Cricetulus griseus: one gene and its partner. The protein of the gene in region 1 interacts with the protein of each later gene in a biochemical or structural test. Links are inferred from orthologs where the notes say so. Each region holds a gene or a part of one and is shown on either strand. Other genes may lie near its edges.

Region 1 (7,003 bases):
CTTATGTATTCCCTCTGTGACTTTATCCAAATTCAGCCATTTCTTTATTTTTACTTTATATGCACTGGTGTTTTGCTATGGGTGTTGGGTTCCCTAGAACTGTAGTCACAAACAGTTGTGAGCTGCCATGTGGTTGCTGGGAATTGAACTCAGGGCCTCTGGAAGAGCAGTTAGTGCCCTTAATCACTGAGCAATCTCTCCAGCCTCAAATTCGGCCATTTCTCTGCTAAGGTTCCCCTACTTTATCTCCAATTATATGACTTTCACTCCAGACCAGTTACTAATTGCCTTCTCCTATCCTTAGGAGCTGAACTCCAAGAGGCCTACAACAAAGCTTGTGTTTCTCCTCAAGGCCCACATCCCCCATCTCATTCATTCCATTCTGAGATAGTCTTGACTGAGCAGCAAATCCCATCCAGTGAATTCAACTCACCAAATCCAGGCAAATCTACCTAGCCACTTCTCCAATAGGCTACCGTGCTGGCCCCAAGTTGAAGCTGCCTTTCTTTGTTTCTTTAAAATTGGAACAGCTTTATTGAAATAGTTATCTGCTATAAGATTCACCAAAGTAAACAATTCAGGAGCCAACCAACATGGTGGCATCAGCACATTCAACCTTCTGGATGAGCTGGAGATGGCTCCACGGTTAAGAGCACATGTTCTTTCAGAGGATCAGGATTGGATTCCTGGTGCCCACATGGTGGTTCACAACCACCCATAACTCCAGTTCCAGGAGACCCAATGTCCTCTTCTGGCCTCCACAGGCATAAAGCATATCAGGCAAAGCATTCACAAAAAATACTTTAAAAAAAGAAAAAAAGGAGTCTCTGTGCCTGGGGGTGTGGCTCAGAGATAGATGCCCAGCATGTGAGACCCTGGATTTCATCCACCAGACCACAAAGTGAAACTACCTTTGTACCCTTTAGCCATCACTGAACTCCCAGAACCATCAATCTGCTTCTCTCTCTGCAGACTAGCCTTTTCTGAGCATTTTCTATAATAGCATCATGAGGCCTTACTTTTCCATTCTTTCACTCTGCACCGTTCTCAACGCTCATCCACAGTACAACACGAATCAGCACTTCATTCCTTTTTTTGTCCCCTTTGTCTTTTTTTTGGGGGGGGGGTGGACACAGGGTTTCTCTGTGGCTTTGGAGGCTGTTGTCGTGGAACTAGCTCTTGTAGACCAGGCTGGTCTCGAACTCAGAGATCCTCCTGTCTCTGCCTTCCCCTTGGTCTTTAATGAGACATTTTTTTCCTTTTTATGGCCACACAATCTTCCTGCCTGTAAGCATATCGCATGGGGCCGTTTGGGTAACATCTGTCTGGATTACAGCCTCTCAGTGTCCACTGATCCCTATCCAGTACACAGCTCCCACAGAAGGCACGCACTCCATCTAAATCAAATCTGGCTCTCATCACTGTGCTGTTTAAAACAGGCTGAGGTTGGGCCTGCAGAAATGGCTCAGGAGTTGTTGCTTTTGTAAAGAACACAAGTTTGGTTCCTAGTACCTATCCACAACTATAATAGTTCCTGGGATCTAAGCCTTTTGGCCTCTTTGGGCACCAGGCAACTCAAGTGGTGTACGGCACACACATGCAGGCAAGAGTCACACGTAAATTTTTGAGTTGGATTTTCTCTGTGTAGCTGATTGTCCTGGAACTTGCTCTATAGCACTTGGGGGGAGGAGGGTCTCAGAGTGAATATAATAATACACCATTTGCCATCACCACAGCCAAATAAAATATTTCCAAAATGTCAGGTGGTGGCAAACATCCTTAATAACAGCATTCAGGACAGATGCAAGCAGACCTGAAGAGTTTCGGGTCAGCCTGGTCTACACAGCCAAGGCCTACATAGTGAGACGTTATCTCCCTATCTCAACAACCCCCCACCCCCCACACACACCTTACCACATGCATGGGTCATGATCTCCCCTCTCCAGCACCATTTAGTTGGGTGCTTATTCTCCAAAAGTGTACTTCTGTTAGCATCAATTTAAAAGAATCCTTCTTAGCTGGGTGTGGTGGCACACACCTTTGAGCCCAGCACTCGGAAGGCAGAGGCGGGCAAATCTGAGTTCAAGGTCAGCCTGGTCCACAAATTGAATTCCATGCCAAGGCTACACAGAGAAATTCTGTCTTGAAAAATAAGCAAACAAAAACACTCATCTCGCCAACCTGATCTCATATGTAGAAGAGGACCTGGCAGTCAGCAGCAGTGGTGGTAAATGACTGGAACTACAACTAGGGCCTTAAGGCGGCAAACTTACACCAGTCCACTGCAGCAGCAAAGGGACAGGTTCATTTGCCAGTCAAGAAAGGTTACTACTCAGTAGGAAAGGGCAGGATTCCCCAGAATCCACATAGAAGTGACAAATTGTCCCTCTGATATAGACAAATACACCACATACACAAAAAGTGTGTGTGTGAGGGGGGGGAGAACATGGATGGCACACACCTTTAATCCCAGCACTCTGGAGGCAGAGACAGATCTCTGAGTTCCAGAACAGCCTGGTCTACAAGAGCTAGTTGGAGGACAGCCTCCAAAGCCACAGAGAAACCCTGTCGCAAACAGCACCCCCTCCAAAAAAAGAATTTGCTCAAGATGGAGTGGAGCATAAGGCCAACAGCTGGGAAAAACAGGCATGGAAAGAGAATTATCCAGGGGCAATAAGGAGGACACCAAATAGGTCAGAGCCATCCCCGGGTAGAGTAGAACCAGACATCTCTGGCTCAAACATGTGAATGGCCAAGATGGTGTATCTATTTTTATTTGAGAAAGGGATTTATGCAGGACCTAGGCCAGCCTTGAATTCCCGATCCTCCTATCTCAACCCCGCCCCCCCCCCCAAATGCCCAGTCTATACTAAAATGAACTTTAAAATTGCCTGGGCAATTTTTCCAGTGACCTCCAGGCCAGCCAAGGCTACATAGAGATCTTATTTCAGCAATAAAAAAAAAAAAAAAAAAAAAACCTTGGGCATTCAGGACAAGAGAGGTGTGGCAGACCGGTTAAAACGCTTGATGCTTTCGGGCGATTTTTCAGTTCACAACCACCTTCTAACTCCAAGTAGAGGTTCGAGTCCCTCTTCCGGCCTCCAAGAGCACCTGCACACAGTCATTCACACACCCACGTGAATAAAAAATTCAAGGACAGCCTCAACTTCATGAGAACCTTATGGCCCCCTCATACATATGTACTGTTTTGAGGCAGTATAGATCTAAAAACGTTTCTTGTCCTAGTTAAGGGATAAAGGTGAAGCCGAGCGTAGTGGTGCACGCCTTTAATCCCAGCGCTCCGGAGGCAGACACAAGTGGATTTCACTGAGTTCATAGTGAATTCCAGTGTACAAAGATCCTGTCTCAAAACACGAGATGGGGCTGAGCGTTGGTGGTGCATGCCTTTAATCCCAGCACTCGGGAGGCAGAGGCAGGCGAATCTCTGAGTTCGAGGCCAGTCTGGTCTCCAGAGCGAGTTCCAGGACAGCCTCCAAAGCTACACAGAGAAACCCTGTCTAGAAAACACAAAAAACAAACAAAAAACAACAGCAACAAAAAAAGATGGGATACACCAAATGTTTCAGGAACGAGTTGGGGTGCTACTCGGAGCGGATACCCACAAATTCGTCAGGCCTGGGTTCCATCAGGTACAGAAAATGAAACAAGTGAACCCAGGAAGTGGCTATCCCAGACCTAAAGTTTCAATCAGGGCCAGAGAAGATGAGATGCAACCGGGCTGAGCCGCCTCACACCGGGAAGGCGACACCGGGTGAAAGACCCGGCTCCTGTGAGCCGCCACACCGGCCTCCCGAGTCTGGAGGAGAAACCTCCTGGGAAAGCGGCAAAGGAAGACAGGAGGCAGGTGACTGCAGACTCTGCCCACGAGGGCCCGGGTCGTCCGGCTGCGACCCGAACCCCAGCCTGAGGCCGCCCTCTGCATCAATCCCGCCACGATACACAGGCCGGCCTCCGAGGGCCGCCATAACACCGTTCCCGGAAGCCGACACACTAACGGCTGGCCCGCCCCTGGCGCATGCGCGCGGGAGCCCAACGGCCGCCAGCTCGAGGTGGGTTCCTAACCGCCCTGCCGCCTCGCGCCCACTCCTCCCGCTGCACCGCGGCGTCTTCAGCAAACCCACAGCCCCGACTTGCGGCCCCGAGCTCGGGACCCACCACTTACCTGTCGCCCGGTTCGCCTCCGCGAGCTGCGAGGAGAGCCGTCCGTCTGGTTGTACGTCGCGCCCCTGGACGCGAGCGGCAACGCTTCCTGTCTGCGGCCCGACTCGGGTCTTGCTCACTGGGCCGTTGACTTATCACTCAACTGAGGAAAAAGTGATGATTGGTTTATAAGGACGCTGTCGGCCGGCTATTGGTGAAAGGGGTGAAAGAGGGCGTGCCTGCAGCCTCAGGTTCATTGGGTAATCAGGAGTGGGCGTGTCCTATGGGGCTGAGCTAAGCTGCGGCCCCGCCCTGGCCCGTCACGTGAGGTGAGTGTAGGGCTAAAAGGATGCTGCCATATTTAGTACTGGCAACCGCCTGTTAATTGCCCATGCTTGTGCCCCACCCTTTTAAAGTGTAGTTTCCTGCTGTCATAGAATTTTTGACTCTTGTCTGGTGGGTCGGTTGGTTGCTTTTTTTCCAGACAGGGTTTCTCTGTGTAGCCCTAACTGCCATTGAGCTGGTTCTGTAGATCAGGCTGGCATAGATCCACCTGCCTCTGCCTCATGATTGTTGGGATTAAAGGTGTGTTGCCGTCACCACTTGACCCAATTTGTTTGTTTTTTGGTTTTGATTTTTTTCTTTTCTTTTCCTTTTTTCTTTTTTGGGGGGATTTGAGACAGGCAAGGCATGTGCCACCACTACTTAGCTCATTTTTTATTTATTATTATTATTATTATTATTATTATTTGGTTTTTCGAGACAGGGTTTTTCTGTGTAGCTTTGGAGCCTATCCTGGCACTCGCTCTGGAGACCAGGCTGGCCTCGATCTCACAAAGATCCGCCTGCGTCTTCCTACTGAGTGCTGGGATTAAAGGCATGCGCCACCAACGCCCAGCTCTTTTTTTTAACCCTTAAAAAGAAATTAAAAAGCCGGGTGTTGGTGGTGCACGCCTTTAATCCCAGCACTGGGGAGGCCGAGGCAGGTGGATCTCTGTGAGTTCGAGGCCAGTCTGGGCTACAGAGCGAGTTCCAGGACAGCCTCCAAAGCAACACAGAGAAACCCTGTCTCGAAAAACAAAACAACACAAAAAAAGTTAAAAAAAAAAAAAACAAAAACACAAAACTCTTTTACTCCTACGTTGTATACACTGGACTCAGTTGGTCTCCTGCCTCAGGTTCCCTAGTAAAAGATCACTACTCCAAAAAAAAAAAAAAAAAAAGCATTGGCCATAACCTTAGTTTATAGCTCCAGAAAGCCAGCTATTTGGGGATTACAGATGATACAAAAGAGACAACAGACCCTGCGTTCTGAAAAGGTAAACTTCTCCATTCTGCCCTTTGTTCTTCTCCCTTCCCCATCCTTAGCTACAAAAACCCGGTCTTGAAGCATGTTATCTGCATTGTCTGGAACTCTGGTCACTGTGTTGCTGGGTGCTACAACCTGATCATGGTGCAGTCAAATACTGAGAGAAAATAACCAGATAAAATAAAGCCTACTCCAGCTGCTAATATCCTCTAAACTCCCCTTTATTTCTTTTTTTTTCAAACATAATTCTTGTATCTAGTAGCTGGGATCACAGGACCTACCTTGACAGTAAGTAATAAACAAAACTTGTTTGGTTGTTTTTTGTCAAGACAGGGTTTCTTTGTGTAGCCTTGTCTGTCCTGGAACTCACTCTTTCGACCAGGCCGGGCTCAAAAATCACAGAGATCTGCCTGCCTCTGCCTCCTAAGAGCTGGGATTAAAGGCGTGTACCACCACTGCCAGGCTGCTAGGGAGGTTCTTAGAATTTTCTCTGTATTTGGTGGTTTGAGGATGGAACCAAAACTTAACATGCTGGGCAAACCTCTGCCGCTGAGCTACAGCCAGTCTCATTGTTTTAATCTGGTCTTGGGATTTGCTTTTTAGATTAATTTTTAAAATATTATTTGTATGATCCTTTTGCCAAGATATATTATGTGTACCACATGTGTGCCTGGTGCCACTCAAGGTCAGAAGATGGCTTTGGATCTCCCTCGAACTGGAGTTACAGACTACTATGAACTGTCATATGGGTGCTGGGAACCAAACCAAATAAACCAAATAATTTATTGTTTATTATTGTTGTTGTTATTAGGTTTTTTAAAGACAGGGCTTCTGTGTGGAGCCCTAGCTGTCCTGGAACTTGCTCTATAGACCAAGCTGACCTCAAACTCAGAGATCCACCTGCCTCTGCCTTCAAAGCACTAGGATTAAAAGCATGTACAACCAGCTGGGCGTTGGTGGCGCACACCTTTAATCCCAGCACTCGGGAGGCAGAGGCAGGCGGCTCTCTGTGAGTTTGGTCTACAAGAGCTAGTTCCAGGACAGCCTCCAAAGCCACAGAGAAACCCTGTCTCGCAAAAAAAAAAAAAAATGTGCACCATCACGTCCACCTGACTCTGGTTTTGATTGTTTGAGCTAGGGTTCATGTAGCCCAGGCTGGTCTGAAAACCTTTAATTCTCTGAAAACTACACAAAGGTAGAAAAAGGAGAGAATAGATCCCTGATAGTCATCACCTGACTTCTACAGGTGTGCTGTAGAATAGGTGTATACACACACACACACACACACACACACACACACACACACACACACAGACACCTCCAAATAGGAAATGGATCAGTGAAATATTTTGTTCTCAAGGACACATTCATGATAGCTGTCTGTGTTGTGGCTCATGCCTGTGATACCAGCATTTGGCAAGCTGAGGAAAAAGGAGTTTAAATTCCATATTAGCCTGGACTATATAGTGAGATCCTGTCTCCTAAAGTGCAGTTGGTTTGAACAAATTAATAATTAACTCAGAGTTACCAATG
Region 2 (6,338 bases), on another chromosome or scaffold:
CCCAAAATTATATTCAACAATAATGGCAGAACCATTCCTTACAAAGTAAGTCACATTTAGAGAAGATAAAACCAGATCTCTATTAAATGTTAGTATAAAACTGAATTCCATCTGAACTGAATAAATGCAATTAGGCTGTACTTAAGTCTCACTATAAAATTAATTTAAAAACTAATTAGGGGGGTTGGAGAGATGGCTCAGCGGTTAAGAGCACTGACTGTTCTTCTAGAGGTCCTGAGTTCAATTCCCAGCAACCACATGGTGGCTCACAACCACCTTGAATGAGATCTGGTGCCCTCTGCTGGCCTGCAGGCAGAAGACTGTATAGACTGTATACAATAATAAATAAAATCTTAAAAAAAAAAAAAAAAAACTAATTAGGACAGGGTATGGTGGTGCATGCCCTGTAATCCCAGCATTTGGAAGAGCATTTGGGAAGATAGAGGCAACACAATCAGTAAACTCAAAACCATTTGAAGCTACAGAGGCCAGCTTGGGCTATATAACATCTTGTCTCAAAAACGCAGCAAAAAAGGTGCGTGCGTGCATGCATGTGTAAAGATAACACAGTTCAATTCCCAGAACCCACATAAAAATTCAAGTATGGTGCTGGAGGACCATTGTAACCCCAGACCTGGGGAGCCAAGCAGAACTAGATTCTAGTGACAGAGCCTGAGTAAAATGACGAGGTGGACGGCTCCTAAGAGCAATACTCAGGGTTGATCTCTAGTGAGTGAGAAGCAGAGAGAGCAAGAGAGAAAAAGAAAAAATGTGTTACAGAATAACCAAGAAAATACCTTTGAAAATGGTGGAAGACTAGAAAGATGCCTCAGCCACTAGTGACCAACAAGCAACTCCACTACCTGTAACCTCAGCACCAAGGAATTTGACACCTTCTACTGGCCTCCTCAGACACCCAAACACATGTACATTCTCTCTCCATGTACATTCTCTCTCTGTGTGTCTGTGTCTGTCTGTCTGTCTGTCTGTCTGTCTCTCTCTCTCTCTCTCTCTTTCTCTCTCTCTCTCTCTCTCTCTCTCTCTCTCTCTCTCTCTCTCACACTCTCACACACACACACACACACACACAGGTGGTGAAAAAATTATTTTCAAAACTACGTACTTCTACTAAAGAACACCAAGGGGAAAAAACATAAAAGACCAATGACAGAGATATTTGTGTTTAAAACCAACAAGGTAGCCCCATGCCTGCAATTCTAGCACTTGTGGGCAAAAACAAACCCACAGAATCAGGAACAAAGAAAGTTTAAGAGAGACATTTAAACTTTCCTCATGGAGAAAAGTATATTAAGACCAACAAATTAGCAAAACTAGGCCACTTGATAGGATAATGCCAAATACAGGTTTGTGTAAATAAAAGAACCCTGAGTGGGCTGAAGAGACGGCTTAGTGGTTAAGGTTTGGTTTCCAGCACTCATATGACCACTCACAAACCATCCATCTTTATTTTAACTCCAGTTCTCCTTCTTCTGGCCTCCTCAGACACTAGGCACATACACGGTACATTAATATATACGGGCACACACCCCTACAAATGAAATAAAAATATCTTTTCTTTTAATTCACTTAATTTTTTTTGAAGCATATGGGTGTTTTACCAGCATGTATGTTTGTGTACATGTGTATAGTGCCCTCGGGGGCCAAAAGAGGCATCATCCCTCAGGACTGGAGTTCTAAATGGTTGTGAACAGTCATATGGGTGCTGAGAATTGAACTTGGGTCCTTACAAGAGTAGCTAGCACTCTTAACCAGTGAGCCAATTCTCTAGACCCAAATGAAATCCTTTTAAAATAAATATTTTTATATTTTAAAGAAAAGAACACCACCAAAGCTATACAGAAAAACCCTGTCTTGAAAAAAATGGGAAAAAAAAAAAGAGAAAGAGAGAGTAGAAAAGAACACTGGCCAGGTGTAGTGGCCAACACCTTTAGTCCCAGAACTTGGGAGGCAGAGGCAGGTAGATCTCTGGGAGTTCCAGACCAACCTGGTCTACAAGAGCTAGTTCAGGATCTCTGTGAGGTCAAAGCCAGCCTGATCTACAGAGCTAGTTCCAGCACATCTAGGGCTGTTACACAGAGAAACTCTGTCTCAAGAAAACAAAACAAAATCAAAAAAAGTTAAAAGAACCCTGATATCCTAATGAAGAATATAGATTTATAAAGCAATTTTAGGAAGCAACCTGGCAGTGCTAAATCATATTAAATATTTATACATTTGTGGATATATATATATATTATTACAATCCTAACCTGGATAGAGACTACATAATCTCACAGGCACATAGAGAAAAGTAGTTCATAAGAGAATATTACATCCTAGAGCAGGGCTTTGGTGGTACATGCCTTTAATCCCTGCACTCGGGAGGCAGAGGCAGGTAGATCTCTGTGAGTTCCAGACCAACCTGGTCTACAAGAGCTAGTTCAGGACAACCTTCAAAGCCACAGAGAAACCCTGTCTCGAAAAAAAAAAAAAAAAAAAAAAAAGAGACAGAGAGAGAGAGAGAGAATATTACATCCTAACAATATAGTAATAGATAATGTATAGTACTATGTATGATTACATACTAATGTCATTAAATCCCCTAGGGCTTAGAGGAAATATAGGTGACTACTATCAAGGAATGGAACAAAAAACCGTGGTGACTTGGCTAGTGAGATGGCTCAGATGTTTGCTACCAAGTGTGGTAACATGAAGTCACATGATAGAAGAACCACATGATAGAAGAAGAGAACTGACTCTGCAAGTTGTCATGTGACTTTGAGATGTGCACCATGGCATATGTACATATATACAAACACATACACATAAATATAATAAAAAAAATTTTAAATGTGGTGCCTATATATCACAGAATGCAACTCTAGGAATGAATAAACCACATAACCACAAAACCTCATGCCACAGATACAAGTTTTAGTTTGTTTCTGTGCATGTGTGTGAGTATATATGCACGGGAGTACACCTATGTATGTGTGGAGTCCAGAAAAGGTTAAGCATCCTGTTCTAACATGGTCTATTTCATACCCTTGAGACAGGGTCTCTCACTGAACCTGGAGCTCTCCAGTCATAAAGCTCCAGGATCTGCCCACTGCTACTCCCCAGGACTGAGGTTAGAAGCCTGTATGGGTACTAACTCAGGCCCACATGCTTATGCAGCAAGACCCTTACCCACTAGATACAACTTAAAAAAATAATAGAGAAAAAAGTGAGACAACGTAAGGCTATGAACTCATTACCAATGATAGAAACTAACACTGTACTAAGCAACCTATCTTATTTTATATGTTGATTCTTTGTATGAGTATGTGTGTGGTGTATGTATACATGTGCACACGGGGAGGCCATAAGGTGTTCTGCTTGATTGCTCTCCACCTTATTCCTTTGAGATGGGATATCTCATTGAACCTGGAGCTAGTCTGGTGGCAGAAAGCCAGGTCCTCATGCATGCACAGCAAATACTCTTATCCACTGAGCCATCTCTCCAGCCCCTTAATGTAGCTTGAATATCAGATACGTAAGAATGATGTCTAAGAGTATTGAAAGGAAGTGAAATGAGGAATGGGAATAAAAGAGAATAAATAAAATTTAGAAAGATGTGTACAAACTGGGATGATAATAAGCACCTTATGTGAGAGGGGTGCTTTTTTATATTTTCAAGATAGAATTGGGGGATATAAGGTCTAGGAAGAGCCAGAGATTACATAGGTTAAGGATTTCAAGGGTCCAGGCACTTGTTTTTGATACTGTGAAAGCTATGTAAACAGCGACTGTCCAAACATATTTAGTGAACTTCTGCACAAGATAGACTAAAATTAAGGCCTTCAAATTTATTTATTTATTTCTTTGTTTGTTTGTTTTGGCGGAGGTGGTTTTCAAGACAAGGTTTCTCTGTGCAACAGTCCTGGACATCCTGGAACTCACTTTGTAGACCAGGCCGGCCTCAAACTCACTGAGATCTACCTGCCTGTGCCTTCCAAGTGCTGGGATAAAAGGCATGTGCCACCAGCGCCCAACACCTTCAAACTCTTAAACTAGTGATAGCATCATATGTATGTATGTATGTATGTATATATGCACATATGAATATATATATATACATACATATATATATACATATATATTTATTTATTTATTTTTTAAGGTATAGCCTCACCAAGTTGCTCAATTGGGCTTCAAACTTAATTCTCTTACTTCAACCTCTCAAGCAGCTGGGATTACAGGACTGGCTAATTTTTTAAATATTGCTTATTTTATTTTTTATACATATGAGTATTTTCCTGCATGTTATGTATATACATCATGTATACCAGAAGAGGGCATCAGATCCCCTAGAACTGGAGTTACAGATCGTTGTAAGCCACAATGTAAGTGATTAGAAATGAATCCAAGTCCTCTGCAAGAGCAACAAATATTCTAAACCACTGAGCCATCTCTCCTGCCCCCTCCATGCTGATTTTTAAATAACATGGTAAAATAATCACAGCCAAGAGGAAACAAGACAAGATCCTATCTCTTTAGGGTAAAACAAAAATATTTTAATACACACACATATTTTTGTTTTGTTTTGTTGAGACAGAGTCTCACTCTGTAGCCTGGGCTGGCCTCAAACTCCTGATTCTCAGGCCTCTGCCTATGGGGTACTGAATTACAGACATGTACTACCACATCCAGCTCAGCCAATAGTACTTTTTGTTAATTTTTTTTTTTTTTGAGATAGACTCTTACTTTGTAAATCAGATTGGCCTTGAACTTGAGGCGATCCTCCTGCCTCTGCCTCCCAAGTGCAAGGATTAGAGGCATGAGCCACCATGGCCATCTCTAAAAGTTTTCTTGATGTTGTTAATTTAGACCTTACATCACCAATGACCTAAGAAAGGAAGAAATCTTTTAAGTGTCAGAGCTTGAAACTTATTGCTTCACTCACATCATGTCCCCCCACAAAGTACTCACCATGTTCTTCAAGATATGCCTGGAGCCTATTGATAAGATCCTGTTTTATTCCCTTGGTCTCTAAACCACGAGCAAGGCATTCTTGCTTTAGTTCAGCAAGCTGGGAAAAGAACAAACAAACAAACAACTTTTTAAATTCCTATGAATGAAAAGAGGTGGTTCCCACAAGAGAAAATGATGATGATGGTCAATTCCCAACTTGCAAGTACTATCCCTGACCAAGACACTGAATCTACAAAGGTAGCTTAGTTTTCCTTTAACATTCAATATACAATAGGACTTTCTAACATACAATGAAAAAAAAAAATCACACTTAAGTAAAATTGTAATCAAAAGATTACTCTGCCAACAACATGGGGGGGTCAATCTTCAATCAGAAAATCTAGTGTCCTCCCTCCCAACCAGCTATGGCTGGTATGGTAACAGTGTGTCTTTCCAGCAGTTTCTGTGTCAGAAGCCTGGTTCTCAGTGTAGTTGTGCTGGGACTACTAAAAGGCACTCGCCTTTAATCCCAGCACTCGGGAGGCAGAGGCAGACAGATCTCTGTGAGTTCAAGGCCAGCCTGCTCTACAAAGCTACACTGAGAAACCCTGTCTTGAAAAACCAAAACAACAACAACAAAAGGTAGAGCAGCCTGACCTAGTAGCAGGAGGATCAAGAATTCAAGGCCAGCAAAAACACCCACCTCTACCCCCACAAAATGTGGAGCTTACTGGGAAGTGTTTAGGACATCAAAGGAGACACTTCATTCTAGGAAAGAATTAATATAGTTCTTTTGGTTACTTCTCCAAACAGCAGGTCCATAGAAAAGAGTAAGAGTGGCCAGGTTTGGGCCTGTAATCCAGCACTTGGGAAGTGGAGGCAGGAAGACCAGGAGTTCAACACCAACACAGGTCAGCTTGGACTCATTACATGAGACCCTGTCCTGAACTCTCCCTAACCTCTGGCCTTCGATCCTGCCATGTAATGGAGCCTCAAAATTGCTGCCACCATTATGTAATTTACTATGAGCCTGTTACCAGGACAACACTATTATTGAACTTTTGGTCTCCAAAGTTGGTAAATAAATCTTTGTTCTTTATAAAGCACAGCCTCAGGTATTTTGTCACAATGGTAGAAAACTGACTATAATAAACACCTATTATCCCAAAAGTATTATTACAATATACCATTCAAACATCTATAAAAATAATCATTGTAGGGGAGCTGGAGAGATGGCTCAGAGGTTAAGAGCACTGATGGCTCTTCTAGAGGTCCTGAGTTCAACTCCCAGCAACCACATGGTGGCTCACAACCATTTGTAATGAGATCTGGTGCCCTCTTCTGGCCTGCAGGCACACATGCAGGCAGAACACTGTATACATAAT

What was found.
Region 2: the proteins of Ddx39a (region 1) and Sarnp form a complex in vitro, tested with the Homo sapiens proteins (2 studies listed by BioGRID). The link is inferred for Cricetulus griseus from reciprocal best matches to the Homo sapiens genes DDX39A and SARNP.

The regions. Positions count from the first base shown.
Region 1 is NC_048596.1:160,699,128-160,706,130, forward strand, and holds the start of Ddx39a (ATP-dependent RNA helicase DDX39A), read right to left. Parts: upstream 4,341-7,003; 5' UTR 4,184-4,340; intron 1-4,183. UniProt on the Homo sapiens protein: Helicase that plays an essential role in mRNA export and is involved in multiple steps in RNA metabolism including alternative splicing. Regulates nuclear mRNA export to the cytoplasm through association with ECD.
Region 2 is NW_023276806.1:129,080,265-129,086,602, forward strand, and holds part of Sarnp (SAP domain-containing ribonucleoprotein), read right to left. Parts: intron 5,705-6,338; exon of another isoform or gene 5,657-5,704; intron 5,072-5,656; coding exon 4,972-5,071; intron 4,889-4,971; coding exon of another isoform or gene 4,747-4,888; intron 1-4,746. UniProt on the Homo sapiens protein: Binds both single-stranded and double-stranded DNA with higher affinity for the single-stranded form. Specifically binds to scaffold/matrix attachment region DNA. Also binds single-stranded RNA. Enhances RNA unwinding activity of DDX39A.